Linked DNA regions of Cricetulus griseus. The protein of the gene in region 2 binds, or shares a complex with, the protein of the main gene of each other region. Links are inferred from orthologs where the notes say so. Each region holds a gene or a part of one and is shown on either strand. Other genes may lie near its edges.

Region 1 (4,028 bases), on a different chromosome or scaffold from region 2:
TGAACTTAGCTGCTACAAACAAGGGCTGTAGAAGGAGATGCTGGAAGGAGAAAAGTGAACTGTGGGTTGAGCAGCAGCCTTGTCTAGCCTGTCAAGAACCATGGACTAGAGACAGAAGGAATCAGTACCTGCACATTTAACACTACAAATAAACACTGGAAGAAGAACAAAGCACAAAATCTACACAGACAAAAAAGGGGGCTGACCCAGGTTGCTGAGGTTGATAAGTCACATAGAGGAAACAGTTTAATACATGCATAGCTCGTCATGTGTATAGTAGTGGTTAAGAAGCAGAAACAGGCCAGGCGTTGGTGGTGCACGCCTTTAATCCCAGCACTCGGGAGGCAAAGGCAGGAGGATCTCTGTGAGCTCGAGGCCAGCCTGGTCTACAGAGCCAGTGCCAGGATAGGCTCCAAAACTACACAGAGAAACCCTGTCTCGAAAAACAAAAACAAAAAGCAGAAACGGCTGCCCAGTGGTAGTGCCACCTTTAAACCCAGCACTTGGGAGACAGAGGCAGGCAGATCTCTGAGTTCAGGGCCAGCCTGGTCTACAGAATGAGTTGCAGGACAGTCAGGATCCTACACAGAGAGACCTTATCCCTAAAACAAAACAACAACAAAAAAAAATAAGCAAAAATGTCGCCTAGATCTGGCAACTGAGCTCCTTCCTGGGAATCAGAGGAGAGGCTGAGAGTAAAAACAGTAAGAACAGGCTATTCTGCAGAAAAAGGAAAAACCAGAGACAAGACGGGAGGGAGCTGAAGTACACACAGAAGTATTTTCTGAAGGAAAGGGAGACTCTAGACTATTTCCACCCAAGACAAAGAGCAGTGACAGAATCACTCTCACAAGCTCATCTCCGTTTCCCAGCAGACCACTTACCTGGATGGGGCATCCCACCTGGTGGGAATGGGTGAGGATGTGAGTGTCCGTGACCAGGATGCCCAGCTCCTGGAGTTCCTGCTGCTGGGGGGCCATGTCCTCCAGCCCCAGGTGGCATAGGTGGTGGGGGCATGGCTGGGGGTATCCCAGGAGGGAGGGCTCCAGGTGGCGGCACTGGAGGTGGGAAGGAGCCAGGAGGAGGCATGCCTATACAAGAAACGAGAGTCTATCTTGTGAAGAAAGAAAGACTGTCTTACAGAGCTCTAGCTTCCTTCCAGCACACTAAACTCCAGTCTCCCAAAGAAACCCAACATCTGCATCCCTTCCACCAGCACTCCTCATCCCTTTCTCGCTGCCCGCTGAGTTAACAGCTTACTCCCTCAGGGTTTCTTCTGCCTTCTGACCCTCCCTCCCAAGGGCCTCTCACTGGTGTAGTTTGAACTAAAAGCTTTACCTGGTGGAGGAAGCCCAGAACCCAGGGATGAAACCACAGGATTGGGGGCAGAGGGTGGAGGGGGTGCATCTGCGAACAGCTGGTGAGGACGGTCAGCCTGGGACAGCGGGTTCTGGGCTGCCAGAAGTCGTTCAGCTGCTGAGCCATGGCGCTCGCCTTTAGAGTCCTTCTTGAAGGCGTAAGACACAGTGATGGGTCTGTTACACAGGTACTGCCCATTCATGGCCTCAATTGCTGCATCCGAAGCATCAAAGGAGGCAAAATTAATGAAGGCATAACCCTTAGAGTTGCCTGTGTCAGGGTCCCGCATAATCTTGGGGGTTTGTAAGATGACCCCAAAGGCGCTGAAAGTATCATAAAGCAGCTTCTCATCGATTTCTGGGTCCAGGTTCCCAATGAAAATGTTGGCCCCTACATCCAGGTTTTTGTTGTGAGCTGAAGCCTTGTTCACCCGTATGGGCTTCCCATAGAGTTTGATCATGTTCATAATTTTAATAGCATAGTCAGCATCTTCCTCACTCAAGAATTCAACGAAGCCATAGCCTGGGGAATTGAAGAAAAGACTACTCAGATGAAGAGATTCAAAACGACACACTAACTCACCAGCCTCCAAACAAAGAACAAGTTGGAAGAATCCCAACTTCAAACTAAAGCTAAGAGACTACTCCTGAAACAAACTGCCAACTGAAGCTTAGAGAAAGAAACCATTCCAAAATAGCTGTGACTAGTGTTGAGATGCTTCAGGGGCCGCTAACCCAAAGTAAAGTCATTTCTTGCCGTAAATACTCACCTTGGTGCTGGCCAGTGACTCTATCCTTTGGCATGTGGGTGTTGACCACCGGCCCTGCCTGGAGAAAGAGCTCCCACAGCAGTGGTTCGCTCACTTTCTCGTCTAGACCGCCCACGTACACCGTGGCATCTAAAGCAAGAAAGCAGAAGGTAAGGACGAGGTCACGAGTTAAAAGGAAAACAGAAATTTAAAAAAAAAGTAACTAAAACCCTGAGATCACCCTTTGCCTGCCTAGTATAAAAAAACCCGCTCAAGTCTAATGTGGCGTTCTTGCGGATTGTGTACTTCCCGGTGGAGTTTCAATGATGCGCTTGGTAGCAGCGGGAGTGCCTACGGGAACCGGATCCAGAGGCATCACCCTCACAGGCCTCGGCCTCAACCCGGCCCCCAGGCCCAGCCCCCAGACGCGGGCCTTCCCGGGGAAACCTAGTTTCCCACGCTGGCGCTAACGCTTCTAGCACTCATCTGCCCTCCACCTCCCTGGGCCCACCTTGGGCTCTTCTCCCCCAATTACCCTGATTCCGTTCGGAGATGGGCCCGGCAGCCATGGCGAAGAGGCTCCCGCCGTCTCTAAGCGGCAGCACCGCCCTCTGACCTGTTACGACTTCCACTTCCGGGCCAAGGCTCCCATTGGGCGGGGCGGGCGGCAGGGGAGGAGCCGGAAGTGGCCGCGGCCATCTTAGGCGTCTGACGCGTGTCTGGAAAGACGCTGTGGTGGAGCTCTCACGACGCCCGGCTGGCGCCGAGGCGCTCAGGCCCCTCTTGACGACGCGGCTCTCGCCTGTCAGGCAGTCCCGCTGCTCCCCAGCCCAAATTTAAGCCCTAATCTCAGCCTTGTATGTTCTGTGACGCAGAGAAGCGTGCTGGGGGGAGGGAGGGGCGGGCCGGCTGCCTCGGGACGCAGCCTGTTACCTCAGTGCAGACGGAAGTGTCTGAGCCCCACTATTCGTGGGGTCATCTGAGGCACGGTGCCGCGTGTGTTCACGGTCAGTCTCAGCCTCGGGAGCACTCGGCAGCACCGTGCATCCCTCCCCTCCCACAGAAGAGACACTCAGAGAGCCTTCCTCCCGGGCCAGGACAGCCAGGGCTACACAGAGAAACCCTGTCTCAAAAAAAAAAAAAAAAAAAAAAAAAGGGGTTGGTGCTTCTTTCTCCAAATTTCGTCGGAATAGCCCCTCCTGTTTTGGGTCCTTAACTTCTTTTTTATCTATTTGTTTTGTTTCTCGAGACAGGGTTTCCCTGTGGCTTTGGAGGCTGTCCTGGAACTCGCTCTTGTAGACCAGGCTGGCCTCGAACTGGGTCCTTAATTTCTGTATCAATAATCTGGGTGCTTTTCTCTCAGTGCATACCCTCCCCCAACCACTTTACCGAGATCTTCATTCAACACAAGAAACAATACCAGCAATGTGTAGAAATACTGTGCTTTAATGAAGTCCTTAAATAGAAATACCACTACAAAAATATACAGTGGGAGGACAGGGTGTCTCCCTTATTTCCCTCATTCCCACAGAAGACTAAGAAACTGGATTTCAAAGCAGTGTGAGGGGTTGAGAATGAAGTCTCTGGGGCATCTTGTTGGAACTGATGAAGTGTCTCTGATCTCACAGTTTTGACAGTTTGTCATCTAAACGGCATGGAATTGCCAGAGAAAAAAAGGAAACGTTCTGAAGTGGTTTTGTTTCTTATTCCAGAGAAACAAAAATAGCTGGAGGTTGGTAGCTCCATGTCTGCTACAGAAACTCACTCACGGAGTGAGCTCCTTTATGGGCTGGAATGTGAAAGCTTGAAACACTGAGGTCAGATACAAAGAAACATGAGCAGAACTCCCTCCACATTCCCTCTGCCCTGCCTTCGAGAATGCTAGCAGTCTCAACGGATCTGAGAGAGGATGGTATTTGGA
Region 2 (4,135 bases):
TTAAATTCATAAATGGTTTATGGAGCTTCAAAGGAGTTGAATGTTTTATCCCTGGTACTTTATCCACCATCTTCTTCCTCTCAGTTAAGAGCTGAGATCTCATCTTAGAAAAACAAGATTTCTCTCCGCCTGCATGTTCCTTTGGGCTGCTTCCCCTGTTCTTCCTCTGGCAGCTGAACATACTGAGTTCCTATTTCATCTCCTATTTGGTTCATTTACTTCAAGTATCCTTTTTGTTTGTTTGAGACAGTGTTTCTTTGTGTAACACCCCTGACTCTCCTGGAACTCACTCTGTAGACCAGGCTGGCCTCAAACTCACAGAGATCCACCTGCCTCTGCCTCTCAAGTGCTCATTTCAAATATTCTTGGCAAAGTAAAAAATAACTGTCTAAAGTCATCTACAGCTTCAGGAGCCTCTATGTGTTCTGGCTTATGTATTTTACCTCCTACCTACAGCACTGGAAACCTCTAAACCAGAAGTTTTCAACCTGTGGGATGTGACTTTGTGACTCCTGTGGGGATTGAATGACCCTTCTTTCACAGGGGTCACCTAAGACAATCCTACATATCAGATATTTACAATTAATGACAGTAGCAAAATTATAGTTATGAAATAGCAATTAAAATAACTTTATGGTTTGAGGTCATGACAAAGAACTGTATTAAAGGGTCACAGAATTAGGAAGGTCAAGAATCACTGCTCTAAACATGTATGTTTATAATTTCTTCTCAGAATTCACACCATCTTCACCCAGACACCCTTGAAAACTCTATTCTACATTTCCTTTCCCTACTCTAGGCTGAAAAATTCTGCCTAAATCAATCTCCCAACAAGCTTTAGACTAAACAGACTCCAAGGCACTTTCATCTCTAACCTAGAATGGTTTTCCAGTCACATAAGCCAGAAATCCAGGCCTCCTCAGTCTCACCAAACACAAAGTACATGTCAGGCACATGAGCTGTATTAACTCTTAGGATCCTGATGACAACCCTGAATAGGTATTCTTTTTTTTTTTTTTTTTTTTTTAAAGATTTACTTATTTATTATATAGTTTTCTATCTGCAGGTATCCCTGCCTGCCAGAAGAGGGTGCCATATCTCATTACAGATGGTTGTGAGCCACCATGTGGTTGCTGGGAATTGAACTCAGGACCTCTGGAAGAGCACTCAGTGCTCTTAACCTCTGAGCCATCTCTCCAGCCCCCTGAATAGGTATTCTTATTCCCATATTATAGACAACAGGGGAATAACAAACTTGTGCCTTCCCCTACAGGCAGAATCAGGATTCTAGCACATCACTTTGGCCGGAGAACCTATGTCAACAGTCATTCTGTGACAATCACATGCCCATTCCTCTTGCCCCAATCTAGATCAGACCCTCAGTGTCTTTTGAATAGCATAACTGTTTCTCTTTCCTCTCTCTTTAGATCACTGCAAGCCTAAATTTTTGAAACACAAATGTCACTATCCAACTTAAAATATCTCCCAGTCTTCAAGGACATATTCAAATCCTAACTGCATCTCCTACCACCATTATCCCGAACCTGCATTTGAGCCACACTTGTTCATGAACCTCTGACAAAAGAGGGACCACCTGATTCCTACTTTGGTGGTTTTTTAACTATTTTTAACTATATTTATTTGGTATCACCTTGTCTGTTTTCCCCCAGTGTCAAGGAAAATACACATAGGCACACAAATACATAAATGTTTGGAGTAAGAACATGGGCCTCCTCTGTCATGTTTGAGACTGTGTTCTGAACCCAAAGCAACAATAAGCATAGAGTATGTGCCTGATAAATGTATGTTGAATAAATAATTTCCTTTTCCCATCACTCTTCATTCTCCATCTTCATCACTATTCATTCTTCTAAAATAGCCACTCACCTCTCACTCCTGTGGACTTACTTCCCTTACATTTATTAAGTAATGCTGATTAAATTCGTGGTTTACTTGTATTCAACTTAACTGCAATTATTTACCCACATACTTCCTCCTCAGCTATTTGTGAGCTTTGAGGTCTCACCCTGTAGTCCAAACTACTACTCAATTAACGATCTTCCTACCTCAAACTCACAAATGCTGGGATTTCTGATGTGTGTCATATGCCCAGCCTTTAGAGCTTTTAAAGGTTGCCTGACACTTTATCATTACACTGACCAAGACAATAAACATTGAGTATTTGTGCAAATCTGTATTTTCACTAGCCTGGGCTCTCTCTTAAGGCAGGAGCTATGCCACATTCATTCTGTAATGATGAAGGCTGGTACCTTGTCCGGTTTAGGGAAAGCACCTCGGAGGTGTTTAAAAACAACAACAACAAAAAAATAGAGCAGGCTAGGAAATGAGAGATTACTAGACAAAGGATAAGCGACTGGTAGGCTCCACTGCGACGGTGAACAGGCTGGCCCAATGCTTCTCACATTTTAACGAGATAATTTAGGAAATGGCTAAAACACATATTCCTACTTGGGTTTACAGTGGAGGCTTCATGACTCTAATAAGCCCCCAGGTGAAGCTGAGGCTGTAAGTCCACAGGCTACTTTGAGAATTTCGGCTCTGGGGAGTTTGGGGGGGACCAGAAGCAACGCGGCGCGCGGACTCCTGGGACTTGCAGTCCCTCCAAGCCCTTCAGGGCAGCCTGAACTTTCCAGCGGGAGTGCCGTAGCGCCCGCGCGGGAGGGGAGGGACGAGGCCTACACCGGGACTGCAGGCTGAGGAGCTCGGGGCGCGGTACCTGTTTGGGTTCAGTGGCTACTGGCGGCGGCGGAGGCACCGCCTGCACGGGTCCGGCCGGCATGACTGCGACGCTCAGGGCTGCCAGTCCGCCTCAGGGCGACAACCGGTGCAGCGGCAAGGTTGAGCTCCCCACACGAAGGCTACAACGCAATGGGAAGATGGCGGCGACCCAGAGAAAAGCCGCGGAAGCTAGTGAACACACTTCCGGTCACGCCCCCTGGCCGTGGCGCACTTCCCACCCCGCCCCGCGGGCAAGGAGGCGCGCTACTCCGTTGCCATGGCAGCAGCCTGGGCGCGCCGCTAAGGGTTTCGAGGGATCACAGGAGCCACTGGCGCTCCGGGGGAAGTTCTGTGAGCCGGCCCGACACAGAGCTGAGGCTGCGACGCCGGAGACAGGTGAGCCATTCTACATCATCCGCTGAACTCCCCTGGCGACTCTAGTCCGTTCCTCGCTCCCTGCCACCGCACCTTCCTCTCCTCACTCCAGTCTTTCTTCCTCCTTGACCTGTCCTTTTGAAGAATTTTCCTTCCATTAGAAGGAAAATTTAGAAGGTGGGACTTTACCGCAACTAAAGTCCCACCTAACTACACCTTTAGCTCCCTCCCACACACACACCTTTTCTTTTCTGTTCAGCACAACCTCCCCGCCTTACAGAGCCCAAGCCCGCAATTCCCTAGGGTCTCTTCCTACTGGCCTCTTTTCTAAGTTGCACCCTAAACTTCCATAGCTCCTCCCTCAAGCCCGACCTCCTCCAATCATAACTGTTCTCCAAACTCCCACCAGTGCGGCCCTGCAGACCACGCCCCTCGCTTCCCGGAGACAAGCCTCCAATCACCTGCTTTTCTCTCCTGAGACCCTCTAGGTCCCCATTCCCTCTCCTCTCCTGACTCCGGAATACTGAAAGAGGATTCTGAGCTCATCCCGCCTCACTTCACCTGTGAAATGTGGCAGCAACAAAACGCCCAAGGTCCTTCTCCACTGTAGCTGGTTATTTCGTTGTTATCAATGTAGAACAGGGACAATTAGGATCAGTTGGACATGTATTTACTACAAGCCAGATCCTGTGTCAAACCCTACAGGTATTGCATCATTTGCTCCTTACAGCAAGCTATTTACTGGTTAAGACCACGAAGTTAGAATCTATGCTCACGTGGGGTGGGGGTGGGGGATGGGGTGGGGGGTGGGGGGTTCTCTCTGTGAGGGGAAAAAATCTACCATATCCAGGCTAGTTTTCTCCATTAAACTGATGTTTATTACTATGCCTTCACTGTGTTACTTTCAAGTCCCAAGGGGTCCAGACAATAGCTAATTCAGGTCAGAGATTGGCAACTGCCATGTCGATGGTTTTAGAGTTTAAAAAATATTTTCTTAATAGTGACTGAATGTCAATGGACA
Region 3 (3,582 bases), on a different chromosome or scaffold from region 2:
GCTCTTATGAGGCCAGGACCTCCTGGCCCTCTTGCTCTGCCTCCTGCCTGACCCTGCACTGAAGGTGGCCTGGAGACCAGCTAATCCTTTTGCCCTTTTCTTTTACTGGCCTTGATGTCAAGACAAGAGCCAGCTGTTTGATCTGCGAATGCCCCACAGACAAGTGATGGGTGCCTACCAGCCACAGGGAAGGGATGTAACTGGTTCTTTTTCTCTGGGGTTCTTTTTTTTTTTTTTCCTCGAGACAGGGTTTCTCTGTGGCTTTGGAGGCTGTCCTGGAACTAGCTCTTGTAGACCAGGCTGGTCTCGAACTCACAGAGATCCGCCTGCCTCTGCCCCCCCGAGTGCTGGGATTAAAGGCGTGTGCCACCAATGCCCGTCTGGGGTTCATTCTTAATCCAGGAAGTTACCTCCCTACCCTCTCACTGGATGACCAGACCAATCAGCAGTAAATGGGATGCATTTGACTTTGTTGACAATGGAGTCAGGTTGACACAGCTGGGCAGGATGCCCAGGAGTTGTAGCCTAGGCCTCCCACCCCTTGTTGGGAGCTCCCCAGCACTATAGACCTTCGGTGTGTATGCTGGTCCTGACCATAGAACTTCTCAGGGAGGCAAAGAGAGTATCATGCATGTCTCCTCAGTGTAGCCACAGACATTGTGCATCCCCTGCAGGCTCCCATGCTGGACGCTGTTAAGAGTTGCCCTGCCTGTCCTGCCCTCCCCACCTTTAGTGATGTGTCTCTTTTCTCTTTGCAGGGGAGCTACCTGGCTCACACCCAAGGGAAGAAACATCAGACTAACTTGTGAGCCCTCACTTGGTGTGGCTTGGTGGGGAGGGAGGGAAAGGCCCACTGCAGAGCTTATGGCTAAGGAGCAAGGACAGTCGGGGAGACTGGTTGGTATACTCCAGGGCTGAGCCCTCATCCTGTCCGTGAGTTCCAAGGCCAGGGGGTTCTGACAACTGGGCTCTTGGCCTTGGCGGCTGGTAGAGGGACACCTGTGTTTCCTGTTTGTAGGGCTCGGCGAGCTGCCAAGGAGGCCAAGGAAGCCCCTGCACAGCCAGCACCCGAGAAGGTCAAGGTGGAGGTGAAGAAGTTTGTGAAGATTGGCCGCCCTGGCTACAAAGGTGTGTGGGTGTGGGTGTGTGGCGGCCTGCCCACGAGACAAATGGTTGTATCCCTGACCCAGGATACACTGGTCTCTAGGACACTCAGCTGCTGCTTCCTCTGTCCTCAGCAACCGACTGTTGGCAGATAAGCACCCATCCCCCACTAGAAACTTCCAGAAGAGGAAAGGGAGGCAGGTTGTCTGCAGTCAGTGCTCCCAGAGCCCCTCAGCAGGGGCCTTGAGTGACCTGGCCTATCCAAAATGCCAGTCATGTGGCCAACAGGGAGCCAAGTGCCCCAAGAGTCACCATTGACAGTCAGGGTACTGGAAAGCTGTGACATAGTGTTGCAGAGGGCTGTCCACACTGTCCCTACATACAGTGCTGGGTGGGTTGCCCTCACTTGGATCCTAGCTAGGTGGCCAAGGAGCAGAGCGGCCAGGCCTGGTAAGGGGAAACCTGTTCTGGTAAGCACCCATGACACATGACAGCCCCGTCCCCTGTGTGTTGCAGTGACTAAGCAGAGGGACACAGAGATGGGCCAGCAGAGCCTGCTGTTCCAGGTGAGGTGAGGCCAGTGAGGGGTGGGCCAGGCAACCAGGTGGTAGTGCTAAGGTTTTTGTGCTCGTCCCCCAGATTGACTATCCTGAGATTGCTGAGGGCATCATGCCACGCCACCGCTTCATGTCTGCCTATGAGCAGAGGATAGAGCCCCCAGACCGCCGCTGGCAGTACCTACTCATGGCTGCTGAGCCCTATGAGACCATTGCCTTCAAGGTAGTGACCCTGAGGACTGGAGGAGAAAGATAAATTCAGGTTTGTCTGTTTGTATTGGTCCCAGGGTGCAGCCTCTGCTTCCCTCCCCCAGGTGCCAAGCCGGGAGATTGACAAGGCTGAGGGCAAATTCTGGACCCACTGGAACCGAGAGACCAAGCAGGTAAGGTGTGGCAAGACTTGCCTGGGTACTCCCCTACCCCCACCCCCCCTGCTCCTCCAGCCTCTGACCCTCCTCCCCTGCAGTTTTTTCTTCAGTTCCACTTTAAAATGGAAAAGCCACCGGCCCCACCCAGTCTCCCAGCTGGACCCCCAGGCGTCAAGCGGCCCCCACCCCCACTCATGAATGGCCTGCCTCCTCGCCCTCCACTGCCGGATGCCTTGCCCCCACCTCCGCCTGGTGGCCTGCCTTTGCCCCCTATGCCCCCCACAGGGCCTACTCCCGCTGGGCCCCCTGGACCTCCCCAGATGCCTCCACCAGCTCCTGGGGTCCATCCACCAGCCCCAGTAGTCCATCCACCCACATCTGGGGTCCATCCTCCAGCCCCTGGGGTACACCCCTCAGCCCCTGGGGTACACCCACAAACATCTGGGGTGCACCCACCAGCCCCTGGGGTGCACCCACCAGCCCCTGGAGTGCACCCACCAGCCCCTGGGGTGCACCCTCCAGCCCCTGGGGTGCACCCACCAGCCCCTGGAGTGCACCCACCAGCCCCAGGTGTGCACCCACCAGCTCCAGGTGTGCACCCACCAGCTCCAGGTGTGCACCCACCAGCTCCAGGGGTCCACCCTCCCCCATCAGCTGGAGTTCATCCTCAGGCTCCAGGAGTACATCCACCTACTCCTGCAGTTCACCCTCAGGCCCCTGGGGTGCACCCCCCAGCTCCTGGTATCCACCCTCAGGCTCCTGGGGTGCATCCCCAGCCTCCTCCTGGGGTCCATCCTGCCACCCCTGTGGTCCACCCTCAGCCTCCAGGGGTTCACCCCTCAAATCCTGGTGTGCACCCAGCTCCTATGCCCCCCATGCTAAGGCCCCCACTCCCATCAGATGGCCCTGGGAGCATGCCTCCTCCTCCCCCAGGCAACTGAACACTGGCCCCAGCATCCCTTGCTGCCTGTGTGTGGCCTTTTCCTGGCCAGTCCTTGGAAAAGTTTTCTGTTTTGTCCTGTCCTGAGCCCATTAAACAGCCTCCCCCATGTCTCCCTGTCTGCAGTGTGTGTCTGTGGTGGGGGGTATGGGCGGGTGCTGTGTGCCTTCATTGAAGGCATGATGACCTGTGAGTCCTCCAGGTGGACTCCCTAGGCAGATGGGAACTACCCAAGGACAGTTCTAGCCTCTGCAGTTGTGGGCCTGGCTGTGAGGACAGAAAACCCTTTGAGAAAGCCACCTCCCACCTGCTGTGCACACAGGGCACCAGGCACTGTCCCCCAAGGTCACCTCCACCTCCGGAGTTGATAGGGGTGTCCCTCCCAAGCACTCTGGCTCAGCCAAACATATAAGCAGGGCCTCCCAGCCCTTGTTGCTCTACCATGCAGGGACCACCCCTCTCTCCACTAGTGCTGCTGCTGGTGACCATGGGCACTGTGTTACAGGCCAAGACCCTCAAAGAAGACCTCAAAAGAGCCACCAGCACCAGGGGCCTCATCTTCTTTGAAGATGGGATCTGGCCTCTCAGCAGTCCCCCAGAGCCCTTGTGCCTG
Region 4 (3,396 bases), on a different chromosome or scaffold from region 2:
GGATGATTCATAATTGTATTGGGGCAATCTGACATGGTACAATACTAGGAACTGTGACTCTAAAACAAAACACAAAGTATATTCCTAGGGAGAAAGTTCTTAATCTCCAGAGGAATTCATGGGCCTCTCCAAACTGTATATAAGAAGCTGTGTAATGCTTGTGCGTACATTGTTCTGGAGAGAGAACTCATCTCTTTAGTCATCTTCTAAACCAGCATAGTCAACCTCTGATTACCTTCTATTTTCAATAATTGAAGGTATAGACCACATTGAATTCAGTTTATACATCTTAGTCTTAATAGAAAGAGTAAAAAAGATAACATGTAACTTCCAAGGATTGGGGAAAGGATCTAAAATGTCATTTATCTTGTGACTTTAGGACCATGTTGTACTGCAGAATGGGGAAGGTTATCCCAAATGGTGACACAGGTGGAAACAAGGACTGTGGGAGGAATCAAGTGATATTTGATTCAAAACACATATCAACTCAAGTCCACATCTCAGTTTCTGCATATTATCAATTTATCTTTATTTCTGAATATCACAAACTCCAATTAGGATACTTTAAAAATATTCTTTTGCATGCATTTAACAAATCCAACAAAACGACAGGTATCCAGTTTCCTTGCGTTAAACTATGAAGTTTTAACTGAAGAACCAATAGACACATTTAAATTCATTGTTATAGGTAAGAACAAAAACCTTCGAGACATTAGTCTGATGGCATCCTACCACTATGCACTTGTTGATGTAACACTACTACTGATCCTGAAGCACAGGCAAACAGAGACGCAGGGCTCTCCCTAAAAAGCAAGTGGAAAGGATTACATTTCATCATCATCATCACTACTGAGGGCAAAGCTGCTGTCGGTGGACTGAGACCCATCTTCCTTCACATTCCCCATAGTCCCTCTCTCATCAGAATCATCAAACAATTTCTCACTGGCATCTTCTTCTTCATCAAAAAACTTCTCATTGGAATTATCTTCAAATAGCTTGTCATTGGTATCTTCATCTTGCTTTACATCTCTATCTTCTTCATCTTCCTTTTCATCGGAGTCATCAAAGAGCTTGTCATCTGTGTCATCTTCTTCCTCTTTGTCATCAGCATCTTCACACTCCTTTTCTTCTGCTTCTTCTTCATCCTCATTCTCATCAGACTCATCATCAAAAACCTTTTCATATACAACTTCTTCCTCTTCTCTGTCTTCTTCCTCCTCTTCCTCCTCTTCCTCCTCCTCCTCCTTTTCATCTGAGTCTTCCTCAAATTCTCTCTCAGAGCCTTCCTCACCTAACACTCTTTCAGAGCCTTCATCACCTTCTGATTTGTCAGTGTCATTTTCTTCTGACTCTTTCTCAACATTTTCAGGGAACTCCTTGTCAGAGGTATCCTGGTCGAAATCTTTTTTAACACCATTTTCTTCTAATTCCTTGTCAGAGTCATCTTCATACAGCTTTTCTGGGCAGTCTTCCTTGGATTCTTCCTCTGAGTCATCATCTTCAGACTCTTTCTTGAGGCTCTCTTCCCCTTCTGACTCTCTGCTGAGCTCATTGTCTTCAGACTCTTTTGCCAGGCCATTCTTTTCATAATTATCTTTGCCTTTCTTCTTAGATTCTCTGTCAGGGCCATTCTCTTGAGATCCCATTTTAGGATTCCCCTCTTCAAGCTTGCTCTCAGGGTGGCCCTCTTCACTCTCTCTCTTGGGGTAGCCCTCTTCACTCTCTCTCTTGGGGTGGCCCTCTTGATACTCTGTCTTGGGGCAGCCCTCTTCACACTCTATCTTGGAGGAGCCCTCTTCACCCTCTCTTTCAGGGTAACCTTCCTCGTACCCACCTTCTTTAGCATCTTTTTCAGAAGCATCTCCTTCAGATTCTCCCCCATCTTCTGCTTTTTCAAACTTCTTTTCATCGATAGGCTCTTCAAGTGCTATTCCAGTTGTAGCTTCCTGAGCACCTGTGGTAGACATGCTCAGGTGCTCTGAAAAATGCCTTCCTCTGGAAGGCCCTGCCTGTTCTGAAGCAGAGACAGAATCCATCCGCTGGAGGCCTCTGTTGGCCTCAGGGGCATTGAGGAAGGACTCCCAGCCTCTCAGCCTTTCCTCTCTCTCTCTTGAGGTCTCCTCTACCTGTGAATAAACAGAGACTACGGTTAAGATGAATGTTAGGCAAAAAGAAGCAACAACTTCTCTGGGAAGTTCTACTATTGACACAAGTACCCTCGTTCTATAAAGCAACTTTTCTAAAGCAATCCATGCATGTCCTTACTCTGGTCTTCAAAACTATATACCTGTTTACACAACCTTACACACAATATACCTGCAATAAAATCATATAAATATATGTGACTATCCCAGTACTGTTGAAATGTTCCACTTCCTAAAACATTACTATTGGAGCTCTGTACATTCTCTTTAACAAGAAAGATGAGGAATAGTTAGCACTCTTCTATTCTTATCATTCTGAGGTTAAAACCTCCAAATTAAAGACTTACAAGCTGAGAAGTGATAAGAATTTCTCTATCCTCTAATGCAAAACATTATTTACAAGATGTATTATACAAAACAGATTAAAGCAACCTCCAAACTAGATCTACAGTTGACAAGGCAACAGTTCCTGTGCCCTTGAGAGCTGCAGGATTTACCTGGTAATCTGTAGTCCCATCCCAGGCTTCAGCAGTGATTTGACGGCCACCAAACCACCTTCCATCAAGAGTTTGAATACAATAATCAGCCTCCTCTGGTTCCCTGAAGGACACAGAGGCCACACCATCTGGGTGCCTCTAAAAAGACAAGAAGAAGGAGGACTGAATGACAAGATTAAAAATCAGATACACATTTCATAAGACTGATAAAGAGTAGTATTCTCCTGAAACTCTGAACTAAAAGACTTCTGAAATCTTTCTTCCCTTTTATTCCAGCCAGTGGTCAGCTGCTTCTTTAGCTTCATTTTGTCTAGCAAGAACCAGTACAGTGCCCTTGCAAATGTTTCTGTTAACAATACTACCCAAGAGCTAAGGCCATGTAATTGTTTGAGTGTGAATTTGAGATTAAAGCCTGCCTGTCAGGAACTGAACAAGCACTTCTACAAGTACTTCTACTTCTACTTGAAAAGATGTGGCTTCCTTATCTGTACAGCTAGTAGCTACCTACTTCAAAGGGTTCTGAGGGTTAAGCAGCACAATGTATAAAGCCCCTTGCAGCATACCAGCAATACATTGTAAGAAATGGTCAGTTAAGTACTTTCTATCAGTCTTGGAAGTACAGAGAAAACTAAACAATAGTTGTTTTTTTTTTCCTTGACTATGATCAGGTGAATAACAGAGAAAGGCAAGAACTTTGAGGAAATTGATATTCCATACATTTTTATTCTAGTTGCTCTCACCTGATCACATACTCT
Region 5 (4,167 bases), on a different chromosome or scaffold from region 2:
CAATATTCTACCAACTGAGCTAATTTTTGTACACAGATCTAATCTCCACATTACCCCGTACATTGCTTTAAAATTAGCACTCAGAAGGCTGAGGCAGGTGGATCATGAGTTCAAGGCCAGCTGCACATGGGAGCAAGAGCAGCCTGATCTACATAGTGAGTTCCAGAACAGCTATAGCTATGTAGAGAGACCCTGTCTCAACAACAAACACCCCCCCACACACAAAAAAAAACCCACCACTACCCACCACCACCAAAAAAAAAAAAAAAAAATCACAAAACCAGACAAACATAAATGCCAGTCGGTCAGTCGGTGGTGGGTACTCCTTTAGTCTCAGCATTGGGGAGGGCAGAGGCAGGAAGATGTCTGAGTTCTAGGCCAGCCTGGTCTACAGAGTAAGTTCCAGAACAGCCAGGGCTACAAGGAGAAACCCTGTCTTGAAAAACAAAGAAACAAAGAAAGAAAGGGCTGGACAGATGGCTCAATAGTTAAGGAAGAAAAACAACAAGAAAAACAAAAACAAAACAAAGACACCTGTCCATAACTTTTTGATTTAAATGATATCAGATATATTAGACCTGGACCCAGGTCTGATTCCCAGCCCCCAAATGGTACTCAAAATCCAGTCCTAGAGGATACGACTTCCTCTCCTGGCCTCCTCAGGCATAGCACACACACTGTCTATAGGTATCATGCAGGCAAAACACCCATACAGACAAAATAAAAATAAAGGCTTAAAAAAAAAAAAAGATAGAGAGAGAAGATAGGTTCTAGCTATATAGCCCAGGATGGCTTCAAATTTCTCAGAAAGAAACATTAAATCATACTTACTTTGTGCCTCTTCACTTGGATTTTCTCGAGCCTTCAGGAGCTCCTCAAATTCCACTGACATTGGCACACAGATCTGGGGGAAGGAGAAAGCGCAGGTGGATCAGTGTCTCATGCATGCATAGAACTGGACTTCTGATACCTGATTTGCCCTGTGGTGTTCAGGAGCTTACTACTGTTCTCCTCTTGCTTTGCTTAGTATAACTGGAAGGCAGTCATTACCACAAAATCTGGGCTCTTAAGGAAGGATTGCATTGGAAGAGATAGTCTAGGAAAGTTTTTTTTTTTTTTTTTTTTGGAGACAGGTTTTCTCTGTGTAGCTTTGGAGCCTGTCCTGGAACTCACTCTGCAAACCAGGCTGGCCTCGAACTCACAGAGATCCACCTGCCTCTGCCTCCTGATCCCTGAGATTAAAGGCTTGCACCACCACCGCCTAGCAGAAAAGATATATGATAAAGGAGTTGGTGCTGGACATGAATCCTGAAGGTGTTCATTAACTCTGGAGTGAGCAGAGTGATGTTGTGTTGGTAGAAGATTTCAAGGCAGAATTAGGAGCACAGTGTATTGGGTGGGGGAGAATTCTTATGAAAGATAAAAAGGAGAAAGTAAGTTTGGATAAGGAGTCTAGACTATGATGCAGACAAAATCTGAATGAAGCCAATAAAGAACTCTGGAGCAAAAATTAATCATTTCTCATCAGAAAGAAAAAAGTAGGCCCTCGTGCCTTCACTGTGTTCCTTTACTGGCTGAGAGATGTCAGGAACGATGTCAGCTAACTATGCTCACTGCAGTTAAGTGGCAAGCCCTTTCTTGGAGTGACATCTGAATGGCATACCCCCATTTTCCTTGCACCTTTTCTTATTTTAGGGTAGGTTTGGGGAAATACTTCAGGAGACCATACCTCATTTGGGTGTTTCCGATGAAATTCCTTTATCTGCTTGAGTCTGTTATAGAATTCAGCAAACTCATTGGGTCCTGAAATAGCATTGAGTTCCTCTTTTCGAAGTCTGCAAAATAATGACAAACCCGAAGAGTATAAAGCACAAAGCCAATCCTCTCACCATGCCGCCTCAGAAGCTCTACCTGCTGAGGGGATGTATGTGACTGTCACTTACCCATCTTTATCATCATACAAATCCCTCAAGTTCCCACTGACCTCCATGTATCTCTGAAAGGCAAACACAAATCCATCAGAATGAAGCAATTTGTACAACGACAGGGCTAAATAAACAACGAAGGCTTTCTTGGCCAAGCCCAAGGAAACCTCATGAGATACGAGCTCTTGAAAGTTCCTCTAGACAGCCTGAGTGGGGAGTGGTGGCACACACCGTTAATGCCAGCATGTGGAGGCAGAGACAGGACTTACGTCTAAGAACCTGAGACGGGGTATTCTCAGCACCTACAAGCAGTCCTCACGCTGAGCCTCCGCACCTTCCCTGCCAGCACTTTCCCCGCCCAGCCCAACCTAAAAGGAAGCGGACAGCGGGGCACTCACATCTTGCATGGCCCGCGTGCGGTGATCAGAATTGATCTGGTCCCGGAGCTGGAGAAAGGCAAACAGATGCTGTTAGTTTGAGTTCGGGGGTTGGAAAGGCCACCCGAAGGACGAGTTTATTGGTTTAGGTCTCAGGAGCTGAAGCAGAGGGACTGCTGGGGCCTCGGAGGATGTTACCGAGGCCAGAGCGCAGAGGCAGCCCAGGAGGAAGGCGAAGATGGGGCGCGGGGAGGGTCTAAGGCCGAAGAAAGCGCTCAGGGGCTCCGGATGCGTTCCCGACCACGGTCCACTCACCGTGGACTTCTTAGTGAGCATCTCTTTGGCCATGACATCCATGAGCCGTTCTTTCTCCTCATGATAGCGCCGTTGCTGCTCCAAAATTGTTTCCATTTTCCCTTCGCCGCGGCGCTTCAATTCAGACGACCAACACGGCCGGAAGCAGCGCCTGCCGCCTTGTGCGCCTCCGTCTCTCTCTCAACGCGCTGCATCCGGCTGCACCAAAGTTCCGTGAGTTCCGGAAGTGCCTTGGGGGACCTCAAAAAATGAACACCACACGGAGAGCAAGTCCTTGCTGTCGGTACCACTGCCCCCCGCTGGCTGGAGGTGTGGAGGAGCGATGCTCAGCGACTGAATGCCTGCAAAAATGCTGTAGGCGGAGGGTGAGAGGCAACTGCTGCCTGGGGCTCTCTGTGGCCAGCTGGGCCGGCAAGACTCACTGATGTGGACCGGGATTGAGAAGTTGAAGGATACAAGAAGGGAAAGAGGAACTGGAATCTCTAGTTTCAGGGTGTGACCGCTGGTGTTTTCTCCTTGTCTGGACTTTAGTATCTGTCAGTAAAGTGAGGAGGTGGTTTTGTTCTTAACTCCTATGTGGAAATAACCTTTATCAGCAGAGGGCTCTTTAAGTAAAATGTGGTATATTCAAGCAATGAAATGCTTGCTATTCAGTACAGGGTTACCTCTGATTCTCCGTATCCTTAATTCTTCTGCCTCTGCCTACCATGTGCTGGCTGTACGGCTTAGAAAATGAGATCTAGGCTGCCTTTCTTTAAAGGAGGAGGAAGAGGAAGAAGCAAAAAAGATTAACAGCGCTCCAGAGGCAGAGGCAGACAGATCTCTGTGAGTTCTAAGCCAGCCTGGTCTACATAGTGAGTTACAGAACAGCCAGGGCTACATGGAGAGACTGGGACTCAGGAAACAAACACACAGATTAGGACTTGAGATCTGAATCAGTATAAAGAGCTTGTCCAGCATGCACTGAGAACAGAGTTGGAGCCAAGTAGAGTGGCTCACACCTGTAATTCTAATATTTGGGAGACTGAGGCAGGAAGGGAGCAAGTTCAAGCTCAGCCTGCCCTTTGTAGTAAGAGAGCATCTCAAAACAATAAACAAACACCAGGTGGTGGTGGTAAAAGCCCTTAATTCTGCCACTAGGGAGGCAGAGGCAAGTGGATCTCTGAGTTGGAGACCAGTCTGGACTACAGAGCAAGTTCCAGGACAGCCAGAGCTACACAGAGAAACCCTGTCTTGAAAAACCAGGAACAAAACAAAACAAAAAAAACAACAGAAACAGTGTTCACATGAAATGTTTGGATCAGCAAATCCATGGAGACAAAGGGAAGATGAGAGAAGGGTTGGTTGGGATAAGAAGTGACTTAAAAAGAGCAGAAGGAATGAATCCTTTTGAGGGTGGCAATATTTGTACAATTCTATCAACTTTGCTAAAATGAAATCGAGTTGTAGCACTTAAAGTGAATGGTAATTATAACCTCAATAAATCTCCTATTTAAAAACATCTGGGGGAGCCGGGCGTTGGTGGCACATGCCTTTAATCCCAGCACTCG
Region 6 (3,500 bases), on a different chromosome or scaffold from region 2:
TTCCAAGCACTCGGGAGGCAGAGGCAGGCAGATCTCTGTGAGTTCGAGGCCAGCCTGGTCTCCAGAGCAAGTACCAAGATAGGCTCCAAAGCTACACAGAGAAACCCTGTCTTGAAAAACCAAAAAAAAAAAAAAAAAGTTAATAATCCAAAACTAAAAGAAAGACAGGAGTGTATGACTACAGGCTAAAAGGAAGGCGGTTTCCACTTAAATTTTTTTAATCACAGACAACTAGTACTCAACTTATTTATTTAAAACATTTAAACTTAAAAATTTACAGAAGTATTGTGCTGGACAGGTTTTTTTTTTTTTTTTTTTTTTTTTTTGGTTTTTTGAGACAGGGTTTCTCTGTGGCTTTGGAGGCTGTTCTGGAACTAGCTCTTGTAGACCAGGCTGGTCTCAAACTCACAGAGATCCTGCCTGCCTCTGCCTCCCGAGTGCTGGGATTAAAGGCAAGCACCACCAACGCCCGGTTGTGCTGGACAGTTTTATATCAACTTGACACAAGCTAAAGTCATCTGAGAGGAGGGAACCTCAATTAAGAAAATGCCTCCATATGATCTGGCTGTATAAAAGCCTGTAGGGCAATAGTTCTCAAATTTCATAATGCTATGACCCTTTAATATGGTTCCTCATGTTGCAGTGACCTCCCAACAATAAAATTATTCCCACTGCTATTTCCTAACTATAATTTTGCTACTGTTATGAACTGTAATGTAAATATCTGTGTTTTCTAAAAGTCTTAGGTGACCCTTGTAAAAGGGTAGTTTGACACTCTCATCCCTCACACTCCCAAAAATGGACCAAGACCCACAGGTTGAAAGCTGCTGCTGCAGGGCAATTTCTTAATTAGTGATTGATGGGGGAGGGCCTAGCCTATTGTAGGTGGTTCCATCCCTGGGCTGGCGGTCCTGGGTGTTAGAGAAAGCAAGCCAAGCAAGCCATATAGAGCAGGCCAGTAAGCAGTAACCCTACACGGTTTCTGCATCAGCTCCTGCCTGCAGGTTCCTGACCTCGCTGCTTTTGACTGTTATAATGGAACTGTGGCTGAAATAAACCCTTTCCTCCCCAAGCTGCTTTTGGTCAGTGTTTTATCACAGTAATAGTAGCCCAACTAAGACAAGCATCATTTGTACCTCTAGCTACAAGTGCATCGGAAAACAGCAAGCTGACCAAGTGAATGCAGGAGGGAAGAAGAGAAAGGAAGAAAGCTGCTATTCAGGACCAGGAACCTCAAACTAGCAAGAGTGGTACTCTAAGCACAGACTCAAGGTCTACTTACAGTGCTGACTTCTAATCTAGAAAAAGGTTCATTAGACTAGTAATAAATAGGTGGTAAGTCCAATTCTAAGGCAGGCTGCTACATACAAAGGGTATGGGTAGCTAAACTCAGGTTTGTGCCCCAGCCTGGCTTCACCTTCTCCTGCAGGGCCTCTCGCATCTCCTGAATGCCTGTGCGTTTGATGAAGTCTGGCAGCTCAAAGGGGGGCTTCTCGATACCCCGTTTGCCTTGCAAGTACTTGCGCTTAAAACACCAGTGGCGTGGCACAGGGACGGAGTTCCGGGTGGCCTTGAGGTGAACCAAGAGCTTAGGGTCCTGTGCAGTCACGTCGTGCATCTCTACAACATCAGGCCGAGCCACCAGCTGAAAAGTGCAATAGAAAACCCACCTCTTGATTAAAGTTGTCTTCTCTTTCTAAAAAGACACCTAAACCAAGCATCCATAAAAGCACCTCCTTGTAAGCCCTCTAGAGTAAACTCAGCAGGGCTGGGTGCATCTCACAATTTCCCAGTCAGGCTCCAGGTCCAGCTGGGTCATCTTAGGTCTAACCTGCTTGAGTTCCGCCACAGTAAAGCGATTCATTCGGCGCAACTTCTTCTTGGACAGCTTAGGGGCTTCTGGCTTCTTTTCCTAGAATACAGAAACCTCTTAGGTGGGCCTCGGATGGGAATCAAAACTGCCCAGTCCACTTCAATGCTTAAACCATGAAAGCCCTTAACCATAGTCTCTAAGGGAAACACCTCAACTACCTGTGCCCTGCATCCCTCTCCAACTGAGGGGAGCCTGACCTGTTCATCATCACTGCTGTCATCATCACTGTCCTTGTGCTCCTCCTCAAAGCCCTTCTTCTTAGGGACTGCAGAGTTCTCCATTTTGTCAAGTTTCTCTGGCTCCTTTTCTTTTTCTTTCTTCACATCATCAGTGAGCTGAGGAGACAGACCATTTGGAATCCCATTCTTCTGACACACCTCCATTTCTGACTCCTGTATGCAAACAACTATCCCCCCCCACCAAGTCTTTTTTTTTTTTTTTGAGACAGGGTTTCTCTGTGGCTTTGAAGGCTGTCCTGAAACTAACTCTTATAGACCAGGCTGGTCTTGAACTCACAGAGATCCGCCTCCCGAGTGCTGGGATTAAAGGTGTGTGCCACCAACACCCAGCGCATCCCCCCAAGTCTTATCTCACCCCATCACATGCACATCAAAGTGCGGTTCACTCAGGGCATACCACTCCTCGCACCTTGAAAGCCTCAAAAATCCTCTTGAAGAAGATGAAGTTGGGCTCATAGATTTCAGGTTCTTCAGTCACATATTCAATCTCAACATCAGCAGCAGGGGAGTCAGAGCCTCGAGAACGAGCTGATTCTTTCTCTCGGTCCCCAGAGCTCTCTGAAGATGCTGCCCGCACCCGCTGGGGCTTTTTCTTCTTCTTTCGGTTACGACGCTTGCGATTTTTCTACCAAGACAGGAAAATTACCTCAGTCAGAGAATCTTTACCACATGCCTGCCTTCACTACTTTAGCACTGAGTCTTCACAAAAACATGGAAGATGTCAAAGTTTTGCCTCTCAAAGGTAAGTTGCTGTGCATCCTGGAGCTGCATCATTTTCAGTGTGAATGAATCCACAGCACTTAGAACTTAAAGGGCTTTGTGACAAGCAATGACCCGAAAGCTGCTCAGGACAGAAACTGGCACATGGTCAAGCCCGCTCTCTGTGGAACCCTTCCGGACAAGCTCCATCACCTACCTCTTTTTTAGATATGGACACGGTGTCCTCTTCGGTCTCTGATGCTGACTGTCCCAGAGACGAGCGAGTATCTGTCTCCATTTCTTCTTCCTCTGTTAGAAAAGAATGTGGCAATCAATTCTCCTATAGAAACTTCACTTGAAACAGGGTCTTATATAGTTCAGGCTGGTCTCAAACTTACTATGGAGACAGGGATGACTTTGAACTTCTGACCTATCTCTACCTTCTAAGTACTAGGATCAAGAATTCACTACCGCCAGTGGTGGTGGCACACACCTTTAACCCCAGCACTTGGGAGGCAGAGGCAGAGGATCTCTGTGAGTTCAAGACCAGCCTGGTCTACAAAAGCTAGTTCCAGGACAGCCTCCAAAGCCACAGAGAAACCCTGTCTCGAAAACAAACAAACAAACAACAACAAAAAAAAGAATACACTACCAAACCGTTTTCAAGATCACTAGAGTGTAGCCTCTCT
Region 7 (2,646 bases), on a different chromosome or scaffold from region 2:
AGAAATCCTTCAGCCTCTGCCTCCTGGGTGCTGGGATTAGAGGTGTGTGCCACTCCCAGCGACTCATTGCTTTTTTGGTGTTCCTTCAGTAACTTAAAACACACCAACGAATGCCCTATTAGATGGTAAGCAACTTCCCATGCTCTGCACGGTTTTTCTCTGGATTCCGTAAAATCTTTTCTCAAATGTCATCATCGCAATATCTTAGCATTACAAGCATAGTATTTAAAATTGCGAATTCTTCAAGCTTCCTCAATCTCCCTGCATCATCTAGCCCTGGTCTATTTTAGCCTTTCTCCAAATTGGCATAATGTATGCCCCCAAACCTTTGGAAAACGCTCTGGTGAACACTGAATGAAAAAAAAAAATCCGTTCTTCATTTCTGAAGACACACAGACTAACTCTCAAGAAAAACAGATGCAACGTGCAACATCTTGAGACCTTGGTCCACAGCACCCTCCCCAGACCCCACCCAAGGAACACAGCAATCCACACCAAAAGATAGGACAAATCCTAAACTTTATAAACATGGCAAGAAGGACAACCAACTACTGAAAGGCAGACTCATTAGAAACGCGTCATCACTCCCGTGGCGTCTTCTCCCTCGCTTGCCGGGTCTAGGGTCGCTCCTCCCGCACAGTTCCCGGGGGTCCCGACAGTCTCTCGGTGACTTGTTCGGAATCGTCCACAGGTAAGCAGGCCAGGCGTGACAGACGATGAAGAAGCCCGAGCAAGGAGGACCGGCCCACCGCTGGCCGGCGGGGGAGCCTGGGAAGCGCTCGCCTCAGTTCTCCTCGGGCTTGTCCGCCGGCGGCCCGCTGGGCTGCAGCATCTTCTCCATCAGGTTGAAGCGCACGCGGGCCTTGCTCTCGTTCTCGGCGATGGCGAAGTAGTTGAGGAGGTCGAAGTGACCCATGTAGGAGCAGTAGGAGTCCCGGTGCTGGTTCACAAGCCATTCCCACTTGGTGGTGTCGGCGTGGCCCGTACCGATGTACTTGGACTGCAGATGCTCCAGCTGGCTGTGGATGGTGTACCGGTCCGTCATCTCGCCGCTCCGCTCTAGGCTTCCAGATCAGGCCGCAGACCCGACGCTACCCGCTCCGCGTTCAAACCTGAGAGACGCCGCCGCCGCCGCTGCCGGCCCGACACGGAACTTCTATCTGTGTAGGCGCGGGAGAAAGACGCCACTGTGGCGCCTGCGCAGACGCTCTTCTCCCAGGCGGAAGCGGAAGTGAATCCTGCCGCGGCATTGGAGTTGCCTAAGAAACATTGGGCCGTCCCCTCAGCGAGCCCGCCTACTTGGAGAGCGTTGCATGATGGTCTGCTGAGTGGCTCTTGGGTGATCACGTTCTAACTCCGGCGTTGCATTCTGGGATTTGTAGTCCAAAGAATTTGGCGTGTTTTTTTCTTTTGGTTTGGTTTTTTGTTTTCTTTTTCTTTCTCTCTCTCTCTCTCTTTCTTTCTTTCTTTCTTTCTTTCTTTCTTTCTTTCTTTCTTTCTTTCTTTCTTTCTTTCTTTCTTTCTTTCTTTCTTTCTTTCTTTCTTTCTTTCTTTCTCCTCCCTCCCTCCCTCCTTTCCTTCCTTCCTTCCTTCCTTTTTTTTCTTCTTTTTTTTTTTTGCCTGACTAATGTAGGATGGTGTCCAACGATTACGACTACAAGTGACCAGGAAAACTATCTCTTGTACCTAGAAGCTCACACGGACCGCCCTTGGTCCCAGCTTTGTCCCTTAGGATCTGGGTAGTGGGAAAAGTTCTTTGGGTCCTAAATGCTTGGTGATGAGTGTCAACACCAGGTGTCTTCCACATCAAAATCCAGGCTCCAACTCCTCACACCACCCAGGGGCCCGAGCCCTCCAACCAAACAACCTCCTAACTTTAAGGCTGCTTACAATCATTTTCTGGAAGTCAGTTGTGTCTCAAGACAAGTACTCTCTCCTTCTGTTTTTCTGCCTGGTTACACCTTATGTTCAACTTAGAGGTTATGTATCTCCTCACAAAGGTATAAACTACTTGAGAAAAAGATACTGTACTTCTTTTCTGATATCCTTTGAGGATATTATATAGCTTGATGGAGATCGTATTCTTTAAAAGAAAAATCTGATGAATGGACAAAGAGCAATCTCAGTCAAAGAGACTGATAATAGGGGAGGGCCCAACCTATTACAGTGGGGACACCCCTGGGCTGGTAGTCCTGAATTGAATAAGAAAACAGACTGAGAAAGCCACGAAGAGTAAGCCATTAAGCAGCACCCCTCCATGGCCTCTGCATTGGCTCCTGCCTTCAGGTTCCTGCCCTGCCTACCTTAGATGATGAACTGTGATACGGAAGAGTAAATGAAATAAATCTTTCATCCCTGAGTTGCTTTTAATTATAGTGTTCTGTCACAGCAAGAGAAACTTCAACTAAGACAAGTAGAATCTGCATGAAAATTCTGTTAGTAAGAAATAAATCAAAAATTAGTGCAATTCCAGTGCCATTAAGAATGCCTCAGGCAGTGGTGGCACACACCTTTAATCCCAGCGCTCAGGAGGCCCAGGCAGGTGGATCTCTATGAGATTGAGGTCTGAAGAGGTCTACAAAGTGAGTTCCAGAACAGCCAGAAACCCTGCCTCGAAAAACCAAAAACAAAAATAGATAAATAAAC

The links.
Region 1: Sf3a1 (region 2) and Sf3b4 share a complex: the UniProt entries of both Homo sapiens proteins name them as parts of the 17S U2 SnRNP complex. The link is inferred for Cricetulus griseus from reciprocal best matches to the Homo sapiens genes SF3A1 and SF3B4.
Region 3: Sf3a1 (region 2) and Sf3a2 share a complex: the UniProt entries of both Homo sapiens proteins name them as parts of the SF3A subcomplex of the 17S U2 SnRNP complex. The link is inferred for Cricetulus griseus from reciprocal best matches to the Homo sapiens genes SF3A1 and SF3A2.
Region 4: Sf3a1 (region 2) and Htatsf1 share a complex: the UniProt entries of both Homo sapiens proteins name them as parts of the 17S U2 SnRNP complex. The link is inferred for Cricetulus griseus from reciprocal best matches to the Homo sapiens genes SF3A1 and HTATSF1.
Region 5: the proteins of Sf3a1 (region 2) and Sf3a3 are in contact, whole or in part, in an NMR structure (PDB 2DT7), measured with the Homo sapiens proteins. The link is inferred for Cricetulus griseus from reciprocal best matches to the Homo sapiens genes SF3A1 and SF3A3. Residues at the interface, in NP_005868.1 of Homo sapiens: Ala161, Phe162, Asp165, Val166, Leu169, Thr170, Phe173, Asn177, Phe181, Gln184, Leu185, Lys188, Phe195; in NP_006793.1 of Homo sapiens: Glu80, Phe81, Glu83, Phe84, Tyr85, Arg87, Leu88, Ile91, Lys92, His95.
Region 6: Sf3a1 (region 2) and Sf3b2 share a complex: the UniProt entries of both Homo sapiens proteins name them as parts of the 17S U2 SnRNP complex. The link is inferred for Cricetulus griseus from reciprocal best matches to the Homo sapiens genes SF3A1 and SF3B2.
Region 7: Sf3a1 (region 2) and Sf3b5 share a complex: the UniProt entries of both Homo sapiens proteins name them as parts of the 17S U2 SnRNP complex. The link is inferred for Cricetulus griseus from reciprocal best matches to the Homo sapiens genes SF3A1 and SF3B5.

Annotation. Positions count from the first base shown.
Region 1 is NW_023276806.1:60,350,896-60,354,923, forward strand, and holds the start of Sf3b4 (splicing factor 3B subunit 4), read right to left. Parts: upstream 2,801-4,028; 5' UTR 2,677-2,800; coding exon 2,643-2,676; intron 2,258-2,642; coding exon 2,129-2,257; intron 1,882-2,128; coding exon 1,339-1,881; intron 1,092-1,338; coding exon 885-1,091; intron 1-884. UniProt on the Homo sapiens protein: Component of the 17S U2 SnRNP complex of the spliceosome, a large ribonucleoprotein complex that removes introns from transcribed pre-mRNAs.
Region 2 is NW_023276807.1:100,730,556-100,734,690, forward strand, and holds the start of Sf3a1 (splicing factor 3A subunit 1), read right to left. Parts: upstream 2,801-4,135; coding exon 2,738-2,800; exon of another isoform or gene 2,704-2,737; intron 1-2,703. Other genes in the region: Ccdc157 (coiled-coil domain-containing protein 157), read left to right, coding at 2,890-3,135. UniProt on the Homo sapiens protein: Component of the 17S U2 SnRNP complex of the spliceosome, a large ribonucleoprotein complex that removes introns from transcribed pre-mRNAs.
Region 3 is NC_048598.1:101,584,551-101,588,132, forward strand, and holds the end of Sf3a2 (splicing factor 3A subunit 2), read left to right. Parts: intron 1-758; coding exon 759-805; intron 806-1,018; coding exon 1,019-1,128; intron 1,129-1,620; coding exon 1,621-1,670; intron 1,671-1,743; coding exon 1,744-1,884; intron 1,885-1,975; coding exon 1,976-2,044; intron 2,045-2,127; coding exon 2,128-2,970; 3' UTR 2,971-3,082; downstream 3,083-3,582. Other genes in the region: Amh (muellerian-inhibiting factor), read left to right, coding at 3,412-3,582. UniProt on the Homo sapiens protein: Component of the 17S U2 SnRNP complex of the spliceosome, a large ribonucleoprotein complex that removes introns from transcribed pre-mRNAs.
Region 4 is NC_048604.1:15,372,653-15,376,048, forward strand, and holds the end of Htatsf1 (HIV Tat-specific factor 1), read right to left. Parts: intron 2,780-3,396; coding exon 2,642-2,779; intron 2,127-2,641; coding exon 825-2,126; 3' UTR 501-824; downstream 1-500. UniProt on the Homo sapiens protein: Component of the 17S U2 SnRNP complex of the spliceosome, a large ribonucleoprotein complex that removes introns from transcribed pre-mRNAs.
Region 5 is NC_048595.1:28,350,622-28,354,788, forward strand, and holds the start of Sf3a3 (splicing factor 3A subunit 3), read right to left. Parts: upstream 2,801-4,167; 5' UTR 2,714-2,800; coding exon 2,618-2,713; intron 2,372-2,617; coding exon 2,324-2,371; intron 1,997-2,323; coding exon 1,944-1,996; intron 1,836-1,943; coding exon 1,730-1,835; intron 905-1,729; coding exon 832-904; intron 1-831. UniProt on the Homo sapiens protein: Component of the 17S U2 SnRNP complex of the spliceosome, a large ribonucleoprotein complex that removes introns from transcribed pre-mRNAs.
Region 6 is NC_048596.1:54,027,587-54,031,086, reverse strand, and holds part of Sf3b2 (splicing factor 3B subunit 2), read right to left. Parts: intron 3,121-3,500; coding exon 3,029-3,120; intron 2,738-3,028; coding exon 2,522-2,737; intron 2,209-2,521; coding exon 2,071-2,208; intron 1,913-2,070; coding exon 1,832-1,912; intron 1,646-1,831; coding exon 1,418-1,645; intron 1-1,417. UniProt on the Homo sapiens protein: Component of the 17S U2 SnRNP complex of the spliceosome, a large ribonucleoprotein complex that removes introns from transcribed pre-mRNAs.
Region 7 is NC_048595.1:275,868,412-275,871,057, forward strand, and holds Sf3b5 (splicing factor 3B subunit 5), read right to left. Parts: upstream 1,195-2,646; 5' UTR 1,046-1,194; coding exon 785-1,045; 3' UTR 501-784; downstream 1-500. UniProt on the Homo sapiens protein: Component of the 17S U2 SnRNP complex of the spliceosome, a large ribonucleoprotein complex that removes introns from transcribed pre-mRNAs.